Linked DNA regions of Diceros bicornis minor. The protein of the gene in region 1 interacts with the protein of each later gene in a pairwise test. Links are inferred from orthologs where the notes say so. Each region holds a gene or a part of one and is shown on either strand. Other genes may lie near its edges.

Region 1 (7,362 bases):
GCTCCTTCTACTGGAGACAGATTCTTATCAGCCCAGAGAAAGGCACCAGAGGAATCTGCAAACAAACCTTGTTAAACTAACCCTTATCTTCCTAGTTACTTCTTCACCATTTGCTATCTCTAGCCCAAACCCCTTGGTCTTGTCAATTTCTCATAAATTTATTGTTTCTTTCTCTAAAACATATAAAAGCTTCCTGCTCTGTTCACTTCTTCAGGTCTTCATTCTCTTGTGAAGGCTCCCATGTACATGTAAAAATTCAATAATATTTCTATGCTTTTCTCCTGTTAATCTGTCTTTGTCAGCTTAATTTTCAGACCCAGCCAGGAACCCTAAGAAGGTTAAGAGAAACTTTTTCCTCCCCTACAGATCAAATCTAAGGATGAGATAAGAATGGAAAGAGGATAAAAATCAGCCATGTTAGTGGTCAGGAGGTGAGAGCAGGTAGGTAAGGGTTCAATAAAGGGGGACAAGACAGGGCAAACACTAGGCCTGAGTCTACAGTGGGCAATATGTTCTGGGTGATCATTCCTATACTGAAGTTTTGCTGTATGTCTTATTTTTGTATATAATAATGTTATTTGCTCTTACTGAAATATCTGAGAACGTTCAAAGGATTTTGCAAGTGAGATGTTCCAAACATACAGTCTTCCCCTAAAAAGCAACTGAAAACATGTGCATAATTATCAAACGATACTTGTGTGAATGAATCAAGAAAAAGGTTCTCTGGCGATGACTGACTGATTGTTCTTCACTCTCAGTTCAGAAGGAAGAGTAAAATGGTGAGGGGTGGGGGAAAAGTGGAAGTTGGAGTGAGGGTTGTCTGTTCATTTAGTCTCTTATTCCACAAATATTTATTGAGTTCCTACCTTATACTGCACAGTGAGTTCTATATTGTATATTCTTGTGTCTAAGTAATTGTTCAAAGTAAACAGCATAATCAAATAAACCAATTGATTTTTACAAAGAATTTTCCAATACACCAGATACCGCTCTAGTCTACACCATCTCTGTAACATACTCTCTAAGTGTTAAGTATTGTGTTCCCTGTAGAGGAAAGATCTGAACTGACCTCTTTGCTTCCTTGAGGCAGATTTTTTTTTTACTCCCATCACTCACCTCTCCTATTTCAAATATGTAACCAACATAGAGAAAAAGAAAGCACCTAATAATCCTCCAAAATACAATAGGTTAATAGACTTGGGAACAAGAAAGAAATAAGATGGAAGCAGAGGAATCTTCTAAACATGTCTTTTCATGCTGTTTTATCTACCAAGTTAAGTCACTCCCTGGTCTAGGCTATCTCTGCACCCGGCAACTCTTCTACTGCTACACAGAGCACATGGAGTTTATAAACTTTCTATTAACTTAGCTCCTTCTCCCACTAGACCTGGGCTGCTGGCAAGCAAGAACCAGGTCTTAATCCTTGCCATATCCCCTGCCTTCGAGTAAACGCTGGTCCACAGGATGGATGCCAATGGTTACCTAGGCCTATAACCTAGAGAATGCATCAAAAGGGTTATCAAGAAAAGGACTGCCTGAAATAGATACTAGGAGTTAGACTCTGTAGCTAGAAAACTCAAAGCAAGAATCGAAGAACTGCCAGTGAGTGAAGGCAAACAAGGAGAGCAGGCTTGGGCAAATCCCTGAAACAAGAACTATGCTCTGAGGAGACTGTGTGAAGCAAAAAGATGACAATGAGATTCCAGTGCAAAACTAAGAAAATGGGATATTTAGGTTTGCAATATGTTATGTGTTGTACTTTTATATTTATCTTTGTCAGTGTCATCCCCAGTATCTGAAACTTGAGACTTCTGAAGGATCCTCACCAATCCCTCTCCATCATCACTCATGCCCAACAGTCTCAGTTTCTCTCCAGTTTCTTCTTAACCCTTTCCCAGTATTTTATTCCCATTGCTGCCACTTTTTTTTTTAGCTCCCCAATACTTTCACTAGAGTAGTATTCTCCTAATTCAATTCTGTTTCCAGTCCCTTAAAAACTATTCTCTGGTCTGAGAATATCTTCCTAAATTTTGGCTCTGATTCTATAACTTCCTAATTCAATAACCTTCAATGGCCCTCTATTTGCAAAGACCTCCAGAATAAAATCCCTAGTCCTTATTACCATTGTATAAATAACATGGCAGAGTGCACTGTGCAAGGGCAGCAGAGTCAAAAAGAACTAAGTTTTGAAAATTGCATCTACCACTTACCAGCAATGTGACTACACAAGTCACTTTTACCCCTCTAAGGCTCAGATTTCCAGAGGGAGAGAGAGGGGATGAAAGCTAAGAAGATTAAAAAAGAATGTGCCACGCCCAGTGCTGGGTACATGACAGGAGCCAGACCTGTATTTCAGCCTTGATGGTGCCCTTACCAGCCCTGGACGCTGTGCTCCTCAAAGCTGTACTCTGTGCTCCCACAGACCTATGATCATAGTGCATATCTTACTTACCCTATTCTGCTTGTATCTTATTTATTACAAGCATATTTTGATATAATTATTATTTGGAGTAGTTTTTTCTTCCCTTCTAGATTGAAAACACCTCAAGGATGAAGGTTTGATCTTGCACATTGTCTTATCTCCCACAGCACACAGCATTATGTACTGCCCATAAGAGGACTCTATAAATGTCTACTAAATTGAATTGAATCATTTTACATGATTTACCCAAGTTTTAAAATAAAAAATTCCTTTTGCTTTAAGAATTAAGAGAAGCAGAACAGAGAATAACCATACTGTAAATACAGTATATCCCGCTAGCACCCAACATAGGCCTTGAAGTATAATCAATGTTCCCTAAACTGTGTTAATTTGTGTGTCGCCAACTGAACACCTACTGTGGGGAATACAGTCTTCAAAAATAAGTGTTTTTAGTCGAAAAAGACTTGGGCAAAAGAGAGGATAGTAATATCTACTTAAATCCATCATTACTACTGGAAAAAAATGCCCAAAGAAATCAGTTCTAATGGTATTGAACAGCAAAATTCTTCTGCTCCAGAATATGCTTTAATTTGAATAGGTTTGTATTCTCTGTTTCCACAGAAACTAAAACCTGAGAAAATGAGCTCAAATTGCATGCAGAAATTATGACTTTTAAGATGCTTTAGCTGAACTGTATTCAGCGGGGGGGAAAATTATGTTTCCCATTTTATTTCTGGTAAATAACATGAAGAGCTGATCTTGGAACAGATTACAATGCAGTCACGCTGCTTATTTTTTAACTCCTTATCTTGAAAGTACAATAACCCAAAGTCAAACTTTTAAAATAGAGAGTACAAAAGTTATTACTGACGTAACTTTTAACAGTTGCTACGACTGATTCTTTAAAAATATATGTCAAAATGCTTACGTTCACGAACTGTTGCCAGAGAGACCCCCGGTTAAACCTTCTACAGCTTTAGACCTTGACCAACTTACTTAACTCCAAATCTTCATCTCCTCACCTGTAAGATGAAGACAACAGGAGCATCTATCTGAGGGGCTGCTGAGGGAATGAAAAGATTAAATGATACTACGGATGAAGCGCTGCGCCGGGCACCAAGGGCGCCATTGACAAATGCTAGCTATAACCATCATCGCCATTATTACGGAAGTTTACCTAGTCGTAATCATTTACAACTGGGTTATATAATATATACGTCGTCAATATGTTATACTGGCGATATATACCATTCTCAGCTACCTTTTGAGAAATACTTTTTCCTTCAAAGGAGACCCCGAGGCTCCCGGTGGCTCTTGCCGCGCGGCCACGGCGCACAGTCCTCACCCTCGGCGCGGTGGCTTCCTCCCGACCGGCTCCGAGGCTGGGCGGCGGGCGCTGCTCCGCGGGTCCCGGCCAGGCCGCCCCGCCCGCCCGGCGGGCATGAGTGACGGCGACAACAGGTGCAGCGCGGCGTCTCCGGAGCACCCGAGTTTGGCGCGTCAGGCCCCGGGGGTCAGAGTTTGGAAACTGCCCTCGTCGCCTGGCACCAGCCTTCCGAAGTCGCCCCTCAGCCAGCGTCCTGTACCTTAGTAAAGCCTGAGGTCACCTCCACCTCTCGAAGCCCACCCGTCCCAGAGGCCGACTTCTCTCCACAGGGGAGGAGAGGGACAGGCGCGCGGCGCATGGAGCTCTGCACGAGCGCTCGCTCGCTCCTCCCCGGCCGCCGGAAAGCAGCCCAGAGGGGCCCCAGAGCCGAGCCCTCGACCGCACCCCCCACGCCCGCCCCGACTCGCCGCACGCTCGGGCCCTGGGACGGCCCAGCTCGGCGACCCCGGGCCACCGCCGAAACCGCCCGCCCGCGCCCCTCCGCGGCTTGCGGCGCCCGCCCGCCCCGCCGCGTCGTCGCCCGCCCCTCCCCACCCCCCGGGGGCAGATTCAGGCCCCGGGTCCGAGCCTGCGCCCCTGCAGCTGCTGCCGCCGCCGCCGCCGCCGCCAGGGGGAGAGAGGCTCCGTCGGGAAACGTGGTGTGGCTTCCTCGGTGTGAGGGCCTTTCAAACTTCAGGTTTCTGGTCGTTTCCCCCGGTGGCTGAGGGGCGTCGAGGAAGATGGAGAGCCAGTGCGGGGCGGTGAGTAGGCGGCCAGGGCCCCGGCCCCGGGGAAGCGGGCAGGGAGCGAGGTGGACTCCGGCCCTGAGGGGCGGGAAGGGCGAGGGCTAGAGCCCAGACGCCGCTTGTGGGGCGGGAAGAAGCGCGGACAGGGTGCCCGTCGACCGCCGCGAAGCGCGGCCGCCTGCAGGCCCGTCGGCTGTGTCGTGGGGTCGGGGAGGTGCGGCCACCGGCCTCGACTGGGCGTAGGCGGGCCGGGGGGCCTCGGGAGCGGGCGGGAGGCCGGGCCCTGTGCGCCAGCCGATCCGGCGGGAGAAACAGCTTTCCCGCCGAAACCGGGCTCGGCGGCGTCTTCGACGCTCGCTGCAGCCAGATGCCGCCCCCCGCGAGGGGTTGCCAGGGCGGCCGACGCCCCCTCTCCCCTACTGGTCAGTGGGGACCGGAAGGCCTGAGGGACCTGGAGGGACCACCTGTGGCCCAGGTCGGACCGCACACTCCACCACCGGGTGCGCGCCGAGCTGGTCGGGGCCGGGGGGGGGGGGGGGGGGGGGGGAGGGGCGGGAGGCCGAGCAGGCCCGAAGGGCCACGGCAGCGTGCCGCCGCGCCCCGCCCCGCGCCGCCGGCAGCCAATCAGCGCGCACCACACGAGCGCCGCGGGGTTGGCTTCGCACAAGGCCGACGTCGGGTCGGTGCGGTTGAGGGTTCCCGACGCTGGTGCTGGCGGGTTCGCGGGGCAAAATTTCTCGCTGGCTAGCCTTCTTTTCCCTCCCGCACTTTGGTGGGGAGGGGGTGGATCCTCATGTCAGTGCCCAAGTTCATGATGACCTGAGGGAGCCGGAGGAAGTTGTCGCCGCGGCCATTTCCACCAGCGCCTCAACTTGGTGGCCGCGGAGGGGAAGGAGCGCCGAGGCTGTGACCACGACGGTTAGCCCGCCCTCTTGCCGTTGTTCTCGCCGGCGAAGTAGACGATAGACTTCGAGGTTAACCCTCAAGGAGAGGAGGCAGAGAGGGACATTACTTTGGTGGAAATTTTTAATAAACTCTTTAGGGCTAGAAGTTTTACTGAGCTAAGGACGCTTAATTCTGACCCAATAACAGCACCTGCCTGGGTGCTTTTCATACATTTGCAGAGTTATTGCCAGTGGAATGTGAGGCTTGCTTTATTGTTTAACTTAGTGCATCGCTAACCTCCGAGGGCCTTAGGTGTTGGCTCTACCTGAGTCTTGTTACTGCTAACATTAAATACTTTCGAGGTTGTTCCTGTTGTTCTTCAGCCCGCTGCCTAATGCTTGGCATATCGTGAGCAGGAGGAAATGATTCATTCGTTTCTTCATTCGTTCAGCAGATATGTATTGGGCACCTGCTATCTGCCGTCGCTGCTTAGATGCTGCAGCGATAAAACAGGCAAAATCCCTTTTCTCATGAACATTACTCTATAGAGACAAACAATTAACATAAGTAAATTACATAGTATGTTGGAAAGTGATAAGTGGTAAGGAGAAAAATAAAACAGTTGGAACCCACAATAGAGCAGGAGCTTTAGAAACATGAGAATGAAGTGAATTGGATGTAAAAAGTTGATATTTTTCTTTTCTCAGTATCGTTTAACTAGTTTCTCAAGACTGGAAATAAAGCACTCCTTCACTTCCGGTCACGTCATCCCTCTCTCAATGAAAAATAATGAAGTTGACTTTTATTTAAACAAATTTGAGAACAAATGAGTTCATCTATTGAACTCATTTTTTTTAGAAGAAAATTTCATGAAGACTGATTTTTTTTTAATTTTGCAAATAGGTAATTTCTACATTTTCTGGGAAAGCAGGCAGAGACAAGATTATAACTACCAGAGCTGTTCTGTTGCCTCTAGCAGTACAAATCCAGGGTTGAAAAATAAGACTAATCGTCCCAGGATCAACCATTCTGGGCACTATGTCCTACATGTAAAGTGACAGAAGTTAGAGATTACCTCCAAATGCCCAGAGAGGATGCTGTTAAGATTGGATTCCCAATTTCTTTACTTGGAAACTACAACATAGCAATTATTAAATGTGATGACTTTTCTGTGGTTTCGTGGATGTTTTTATGAACTCCCTTATTAGGGAGTGTTTTTCCCCCTTAATGCTAGGTATGGAATAGAGCCCCTAAGTCCAACCTGTAGCCCCATAGTCGCCACTGGCCTAGTCATTTCTCTGTACATCTTGCAGAGATTAATTTAGGGATTATGGCTTTACTGGCCAGTGAAGTGAAAGGTGAGAACAAATGTGAAAAAGAACAACTCTGTTACCTAAGTTGGAAATTCCTTTTCATGTATTTGTTTCTCAGATAATTGAAATTATGAACTTCAGACTTTGTGAAGCACTCATTTAGTATGTTAGACTGCCTCAGAAGTCTGTTTAGTGTTCCTGGAAGGAAAATAATTAGCAAGTTCTTGAATTAGATTCTCTTCAAAATTCTTTTCGCCAAGTCTTGTTTTTTTCCAGATGTACCTTAAGAGTCTACTATCTTGCCCTTGTGTAAAGGCTTATATGTTAATATATACTTATTAAAATCTAAATTAGGTCCTTAAAATTGTAAACAGTGAATATGTACTATGAGCTCAATTCTTTGGTATAAAAATTTATACCTATGAATTAAAGGAGTATAATTTGTTTTTACAAAATCAGTCCGATCTTCAAATTGACAAGTGCATTTAAAAATTTGACTTTAGAGCTGAAAAACAGTGAACTTGAACATCAGAGTTTGTTAACTTGTCAATGCCCTTTAGCCAGAGACCACCCGGAACACATCTGTAGTTTGATCAAGTTGGGTCTGTTGAATTGTTGCAACAAGGAAGA
Region 2 (7,509 bases), on another chromosome or scaffold:
AAGGGCAGCTGGAGGGATGGTGGGGTCCAGCCCTGATCTTCTCCCAGTCTAACTTCCATCCCTCCTGCTGCTGCAGCCCCATTTGGCTCCCTCCTTGCTCCTTGGGTCCAGCGAGAGCCCACAGCCTCCCCACACTCAGGAGATAAGCAACCTCTCTCCCCCTCATCCCTTCCCTCTTAAGCATCATAGGACATTTGAAAAAAAAATTGTCCCAATTTTGGGGTAGAGAATGAGGTCAGGAGGCCCAAGGGGGAACCGCTTGTTGGTGACAGCTGACAGCCTTCATTTCACCTTGAAACTCCTTCCTGGTCCGGGTGGGTGTGTCCTAAGCCCAATTTTACAGGGGCGCTACTGCACTGGGGGAAAGGGAGAACAGGAAGGGAATTCACCAAAATAGCATTTTGGGTCACGGTCGCTGCCAGGCCCATCCCTAACTTTGCAGGGCCTGGGGCAAGAGGACAAACGGGGGCCCACATACACGTGTCTAAATATTTAAAAGTTATAAGTCGAGCTAACAACCTGTTAAGGAAAATATGTCCTAAGCTCCCACTTTGACAAATACACTTTCATAACGACCAGAAAGACCAGATTCCAATTTAGATTTCTGACTCCTGGGAGTTTTGCAGGAGAACAGGGCTGTGTAGGGAGAGAGAGTTCCACTCCCACCCTGGCGCCAGCCAACAACCTCCCTTGCTACTGCCAGCAACTCTCTGCACCGCAAGGGACTCATACGTGTATGTGGACACCCAGCCTCACATCCCAGCTCCACCTTCACGCCCAGCAAACAGCCGCCCCTTAGCTGTCTTCAGTCGTTCCTCAGGTATGGGGGTGCACACGCTAGTAGCATAACCTGCCCTGAGGAGAACCGGCCCAGGGAAGAGGCTGGCATGGGCTGAGAGCAAGCTGGTGGCCATCTGGGCAGGGAGCTCCAGAGTCACAGGTCTGGAGAATATGGTCTTGAAGGGGACGCACAAGCTCATCCACTTGGCCCTGCTGACTCCTCACCCCACAGGGAGAGGGACAGCCAGAGGAGGGCCAGAGCGGAGCCCTTGAAAGCGCCCAGCGAGGGCACGGGCACACCCTCCCTTGCCCAGGTTTAAGAGTGCTTTCCAGACCCAGCCTTCCCCGGCAGCCTCCCAGCTCAGGCCAGGGACTGAAGCTGTCTTTCCAGTGGAGGGCAGCTTGGACAATCCCCAAACAGGACCTGCAATCTCTTGTATTATTTATCTTCCTGGAAAAATTTAGTGTGGCTTGATCCCATCTTGTGGATTTCTGGAGTGGGGAGGGCAGGGAGGTGATGACAACCGGGCATTTTTTCTCATTGGGTCTCTAAGCCCATTTGCTCCCCAGAGGCACAGCCCCAAGTGGGCTCCTGCTGCCCCTGGTCCCTGCCCTGCTGGGTCCCCTCTGCTCACCCTGGAGACAAAAAAACAGGGCGACTAAGAGAGAAGGAGGCCAGGGGCCCTGGGCAGCCCAGACAGGACCAGCGGAGATCCAGAGACCAGCAGGGGGCAGGGGCTGGGGGGGTGGTAGTGGTGAAGGGCATTGCTCTCTCTAGCCAAGTTTAAAAAAAACTTCCAACCCCCTCCACCACCACCCCTCCCGCAGACCGGCTTTGCTGTCCCACACATGAGGGGACACTTATACTGGCTGAGCCCTCACCAGGCGCCAGGCACTGGGCTAAGCGCTCTACGTGCGTATTCTCATTTAATCCTTGCAGCCACTCTATGAGGTGGGTTCTATTATTATCCCCATTTTACAGGTGGGGAAGCGAGCTCAAAGAGGTTAAGTAATTTGCCCCAGGGTACACAGTAAGCACAGGTGATGGGACTCAAGTCTAACTAACCCCAAAGCCCCCGCTGTTTCGACTATAGCACATAGAAGCAAGAAGCTGGCACAGAAGCAGAAGGGATGAAGGTCAGATATGAGACAGAACTTCCTGACAACGATAGTGTGTGTGATGGAGGGAGACAATGGAATGGGGAAACTAGACAGACACAGGAAGCTCTCCCACCTGAGGTGGATCTCCGTCTGTCCCTAGGCTTGTGATGATCCCTGGGAAGTCCATGGGGTCCTGGATGAATCCAGATGGCAGCATACTGACCTCCCTCTGTTCTACAGTCCTGGGTCCTATGCTCTACCCCAACCCAGCACCAAGGCCCAAAATCTGACTCTCCTTTGTGGCTCAGAGCTCTATGCATCACATCTAAGCTGTCAGCCCAGGATCTTCTCTTCCAGGAAGACTTCCTTAAGGTCCTAGGAGGCAGGACCCTTTTCCTACAGCCCAAATCCAAACACGGAGGGTGCAAATGAACCCCACATCTACTATAAGGCCCACTTCTGTGATCACCTCCCCCACTTGGCTCTGATACATGGACACAGAGAAGATCTACTCAGTCCCCAGGCTCTCTGGGTTCCCCAGGCCATTGGGAGGATCCCCTGCTCCCTCACCCAGGCACATCAGTACCCAGGTGTAAATGCAAGATGCAGGTGCCCTGGGGCTCACCAGGAAACCCAGGACCCAGCTCAGCTAGGCAGCGGCTCTTACCTCATTTGCCCACAGAACAGAAACCGTTTGGGTCACTCCATCATTCCTAAGGGAGGGGGTAGGATGCTTCCTCACTTGGATGAGGCAAACACAGCCGAGTCAATGAGGCTCGTTACCCGGTGCCCTGCAGTCACCACCCCCGACCTACCCTTCTCCAGAAAGCTGCGCGCCCAATGCTCGGCTCTGTCCTTTCCCATCCCTCGGAGCCCGCCCCGGCATCGGGCATAGCCAGCCGAGACCCTCTAAACTTCTCCAGAGTTTAGTCCCACCCGCTAGATGCCCAGCGTCGGCGCGCAGAGCCGATAGGGATGTCCTCACTGTCCTTTAGGGTCCCCCAGTTTAGAGACGAGGGCACAGGACAGGTGGAAGGGGCTGCTTTGTTCTCCCGCGCTGCCCTCGAGGTCCTCAGCATGGACCAGCCCTCGTCGCTGACTTACCTGCGGGGCAGAGACCGAGCCCGCCGCGCCACCTGCTCTCGCCGCGCTCCGGAGCGCAGCGGCTTCGGGCTGGCGGGGGAGGAGGCGGGGCCCGGCCCGGGGGCGGGGCCTGGGAGGGGGAGCCGCGGCTGAGCCCTTCTCTGAGTCTCAGCCGGGTGGGGCGGGCCAGCCTATGCAGGTGGGCAGAAAGCGGGGAGCATCTAGGTCGCTAGGCAGGTTCTGGAGCTCTGGCTTTTCTGAGGCTGGTAAGTTAGCATGCCTGGGTCCTGAGAACCTCACAAAATCCCCTCCTTCGCGCAGCTTTGCCCAGATGCCCTGGAGGCAGTGGCTCCATATGAAGACCCCCTCACTGGAAGTGGAAACCCCGGGAACCCCTCGTTGCCTGAGTTGCCCCTTCCATCTGAGTTTAAGAAAGCTCTCCCAGCCTGGCAAGGTGGGTGCCAGACAGGACACCCCTTCTAAAGTCAAGGTCCCTCATCTAGGGGTCAGCTGTGTATTTAGGGGCTCAGGCCACTGAGCAGACCATTAGGTGCCCAGGTCATCTTTATCATCAGTCCATCTCTCCCTGCAACACAGCTGCCCCATTGCCCCCAACACCAGCTCAGGTCCCTCAGCTGTCACTGTTTAGCCCTGGAATGACAGGCGTCCGGACTCCGTGTGTCCAGCCGCATTCAAGGCCACTGAGCTTAGCACCCCTGGGCTCCTGCCCCGCTTCTTCTGCCCCCAGTCGCTAATTTTATTGAACTGCAAAAGGCATGTTACTGGCAGAGGAGAGAACAACTGAAGGCAAGGTGGGGAGCAGATGGGCCAAAGAAGGGGCCCCAGGAGGTGGAGATGGGACAGGAGGGAGGAGAAGGGTGACTCCTGGAGCCAGGGCCAAGGGACACTAGAGATTAGGAGGAATAAGGGCCCTGGGCAAGAGGGGACCACTCTGCGGGGATGGAGGCCCAAAGACGATCTGGAATTTCAGCCCTCAATCGGACAAGAGGTGGTGGACGGATGAAAGAGGATGCTGGGAGAAGGAGAGAGCACTATTTCCCATCTACCCTGAGGCAGGACCAAGGACGTAGCAGGAGGGAAGGAGGTTAGATGGCAGGAAGGACTGCCATCCTGCTCTCAAATCTCTGTTTAGCCCCCTCCCTTGCTCTTGAAGGTGACTCCTGCCTGCTGGGCCTCTTACTACAGAAATAGCCCTCTCCCTGAAGAATCAACCTAGATCTTGCCTTACTTTTCCTTTCTTTCTTTCCTGCTAAAATGAGAACAGAAAATTTAGGCCTTTACAACTTTCCCCACCCCCATGCCTACCTGGACCCCACTCCACAAATCCTGGTTCTCAGCCTCTCCCCAGCCCAGGGGAGATGACCTGGGGATTAAGAGAAGGTAGAAGGGGGGGGGGGCATTGGGGTTGGAGCCTATTACGGGGTGTAGGAGGCAGGAAGGCCTCATTCTTGATGGCTCTCAAATTTAGACTTTTGATGCTCTCTCCAAATAAGGTTACATGGGAGCCATAAAGTGGGGTGTTAAAAAAAACTTTTAACATTAAAAATGTAGCACAAAGCAGATCAGTGGACGGGGAGAGGGAAGAGGGAGGGATTACAATGGGAACAATGAAACTTTTGAGGTTGACAGCTATGTTCATTATCTTGATTGGGGGGGAGCATGTAAACATTAAAACTTATCAAATTAGACACTATAGATACATATGTACAGTTTATTTGATGTCAGTTATACCTCAACAAATCTGTTTTAAAATACCACACATTTTCTACACCAATATTCCATTTCTTTACTTTTATGGGGAGCCTCAAAAAACAGAAGTAGCCTTGGCAGGGAAGGAATGTTGAGGGGCCAAGAGAAGCTGTGTTGATTCCTAGTACAGTGTGGCCATTGTCCTGCCTCAGTTTCCCCTCCATCCAGTGTGTATGAAAGTGTCTGTGTGGTGTGAGTGGGGTCTGGGGATGAGCTATGGCCCTCCAGCAGCTTCCTCAGCGTGGCAGTCTGAGCCAGCCTGGGCTCCTGGGGTTCCTCTGTGGCTGGTCAGCACAGTGCCCTGAGCTGGTGACTCAGGCAGGAGGGGCCGGGACCCAGGCTTTGCCCAGGGGAAGATGGTGGCTGCTGCAGATTCTCCTGCCCCCTGCAGCCTGAGCCGGGCACTGCAGCGACAAGGTGGTCAGTCCAGGAAGAGGTCCGACAGGCTCTGGGCACAGTGCTGCAGGTAGTCGAAGTCAGGCACGAGGAAGGGCACGCGGGACCACTTCTTGGCCCGGACCCGCCCTTGCGGGGTCTCCAGCAGCATGCTGCAGACTTTGATGACCGGCAGCTTGACTGACTTGTAGATTATCTGCATACCCCAGGCCTGGGGGAGGGACAGAGACAGCTGGGCGTGGGTCTCTGTCCTCGGACTGGGCTTTTCAATCCTCAAGCTGGGGTCCAGGAATGCAAGGCCTATGTCTCCCACCTCAGACTGAGAGCTATCACACTGTGGGCTCCCTAAGACAGGGGTTGGACCACTCTCCTCAGATTAGGGGCTCCTGGGACAGGGCTGCCCCCCCCCCCATGCCCGTGGGGGCACCTGGATGGCAGAGGCTGGGCCTCCTCTCTCAGACACAGGCTTCTGAACACTGGAGCTGAGGGCCACGGCCCCAGCACTCACCTCCCCACAGTTCCCGCAGCTGATGGCGCCCCCAGGCCTCCAGTCCTTGAAGGCTCTGTCCATGACCACTGGCTGCTGGGAGACTTTGTAGTAGATCCTGGAGAGGAAGGAGAGGGGCCACAGCGCCCATGGACACCCGCCCTGTCCCCAGGCCTCGTGCCCTCTGCTTGCTGAGCCTCTGCCTGGGCCTTGGGCCTTTCTGCCTGTCAAGAGGCCCGGAGACTTCCCGGGGCCAGGAAATCCGATCTTCAATAAGCTCTGCCTGTGCTGCCTCCATTGCACTCCCTCCTGCCCACGTTCAGGCCTCAGCACTCCCCGCCTGGATGATTTCAACAGCCTCCCGACGGATCTCCCTGCCCCATCCTTCCATCCCGTTCCATCCTTACTCCCAACCCCATGCCACCCTTCCGCCAGCTGATCTTCTAAAATGAGTGACCTTTTAGAGCGATCTTCTGAAAATGTAAATCTGACCCTGACATTCCCTTGCTCAAAATCCATCCAAGATTCCTCATTGCCGACAGGATAAAGGCTAAACTTTCAGGCCCGACCTTTAAGGTCCTCCACAGGCTGGTCTGTCTTCCTTCAGAATCTCACACTTCACAGTCTCTTCCACTCAAGTCCACCAGAACTATTCCTGTCGCATCACCTCCGCCTATACTCATCTCACATTCCAATCCAATCCACCCTTCCAGACCTAGCCGAAATGCTACCTCCTCACGTGAAAGAACCTGTGTGAAGATCTGGCACAGTGGCCTGGCACACAGTAGGTGCCTAATAAATACTTACTGAATGAATGAATGGAGAGAAGATGGGGGAAGCTTACCCTCTAGGGGTAGAGGATGAGGGGATGGCTCAGGGACAGCCAGCCCCTCTTGATGTCTTCAGAGTAGGTAGGACCCACGGGGCCAGCTTTGGCCCCTCAGCATTTGGCATCCTGAATTCCAGCTCTTGCTCAACCACAGAGTGGCCGTGGGAGCTTGTGCAAGTCACTTAGCCTCTCTGAGCCTCTGTTTCCTCATCTGTAAAATGGAGTGGTGATAAAACCTGTCTAACCAGACTATCGTGAAAGTGCAAACTCCGTGCTTGTGAAAATGCTCTTTAACTGAGGCTGGCCCCATGGCCTGAGTGGTTAAGTTCAGTGCTCTCTGCTTCAGCGGCCTGGGTTCACGGGTTTGGTTCCCAGGTGCAGACCTACACCACTCGTCAGCCATGCTGTGGTGGTGACCCATATACAAAACAGAGAAAGACCGGCACAGATGTTAGCTCAGGGCGACTCTTCCTCAGGAAAAAAAAAAAAAATTGCTCTTTAACTTCCCAAACTCTCAAAGCACTGTCTGGTTGGGAGGGATTCTCAGTCCCCCTTCACACTCCTCCCTCCCTCTCATCCTGACAGCCCCTACGCAGGTCTCACGAGAAGTTGGGGTTCACGTTGACGTGGTGGGTGCCCTCCACCTTCCGCAGGTCACTCCCATGGCCCACGGCCACCATGCAGTTGATGCAGAGGAGCTGCACCTGGTCCGCCAGGAACTGCTGCCGCCGACTCTCTTGCTGGGCTGCCCGGGCTGCCCGCTTGACCACAGCTGCCCGCTGCAGATCCCGGATCTGGGGTGGGAGAGGACACTATGCATGGCTGGGGCCCAAGACACTGGCCCCCAGGAATGCTCCTGGGGGGACAAAGGGCTCCCAAAGACCTCAGATCATTAGTACCCAGAAGGAACTTTCCTCAACCCTCCCTGGAGCTTTTAGAAGCAGCTCCGTGGAGGGGTAGTGGGGCAAGCTTTCTTGCTGAATCTTTGCCCCTGCTTTGGAGGATTTTGTACAAAGCTGCTTCTTTGAATCTAACATGGAGCATCGTTAGTAATTATGCTGAG

The links.
Region 2: the proteins of BOLL (region 1) and ZNF385C interact in a two-hybrid assay, tested with the Homo sapiens proteins (2 studies listed by BioGRID). The two-hybrid records come from large-scale screens. The link is inferred for Diceros bicornis minor from reciprocal best matches to the Homo sapiens genes BOLL and ZNF385C.

The regions. Positions count from the first base shown.
Region 1 is NC_080749.1:75,568,825-75,576,186, reverse strand, and holds the start of BOLL (protein boule-like), read left to right. Parts: upstream 1-4,343; 5' UTR 4,344-4,528; coding exon 4,529-4,549; intron 4,550-7,362. UniProt on the Homo sapiens protein: Probable RNA-binding protein, which may be required during spermatogenesis. May act by binding to the 3'-UTR of mRNAs and regulating their translation.
Region 2 is NC_080757.1:41,290,961-41,298,469, forward strand, and holds the start of ZNF385C (zinc finger protein 385C), read right to left. Parts: upstream 3,020-7,509; 5' UTR 2,986-3,019; intron 1-2,985. Other genes in the region: ATP-dependent RNA helicase DHX58, read right to left, coding at 5,156-5,341, 5,639-5,735, 7,050-7,240.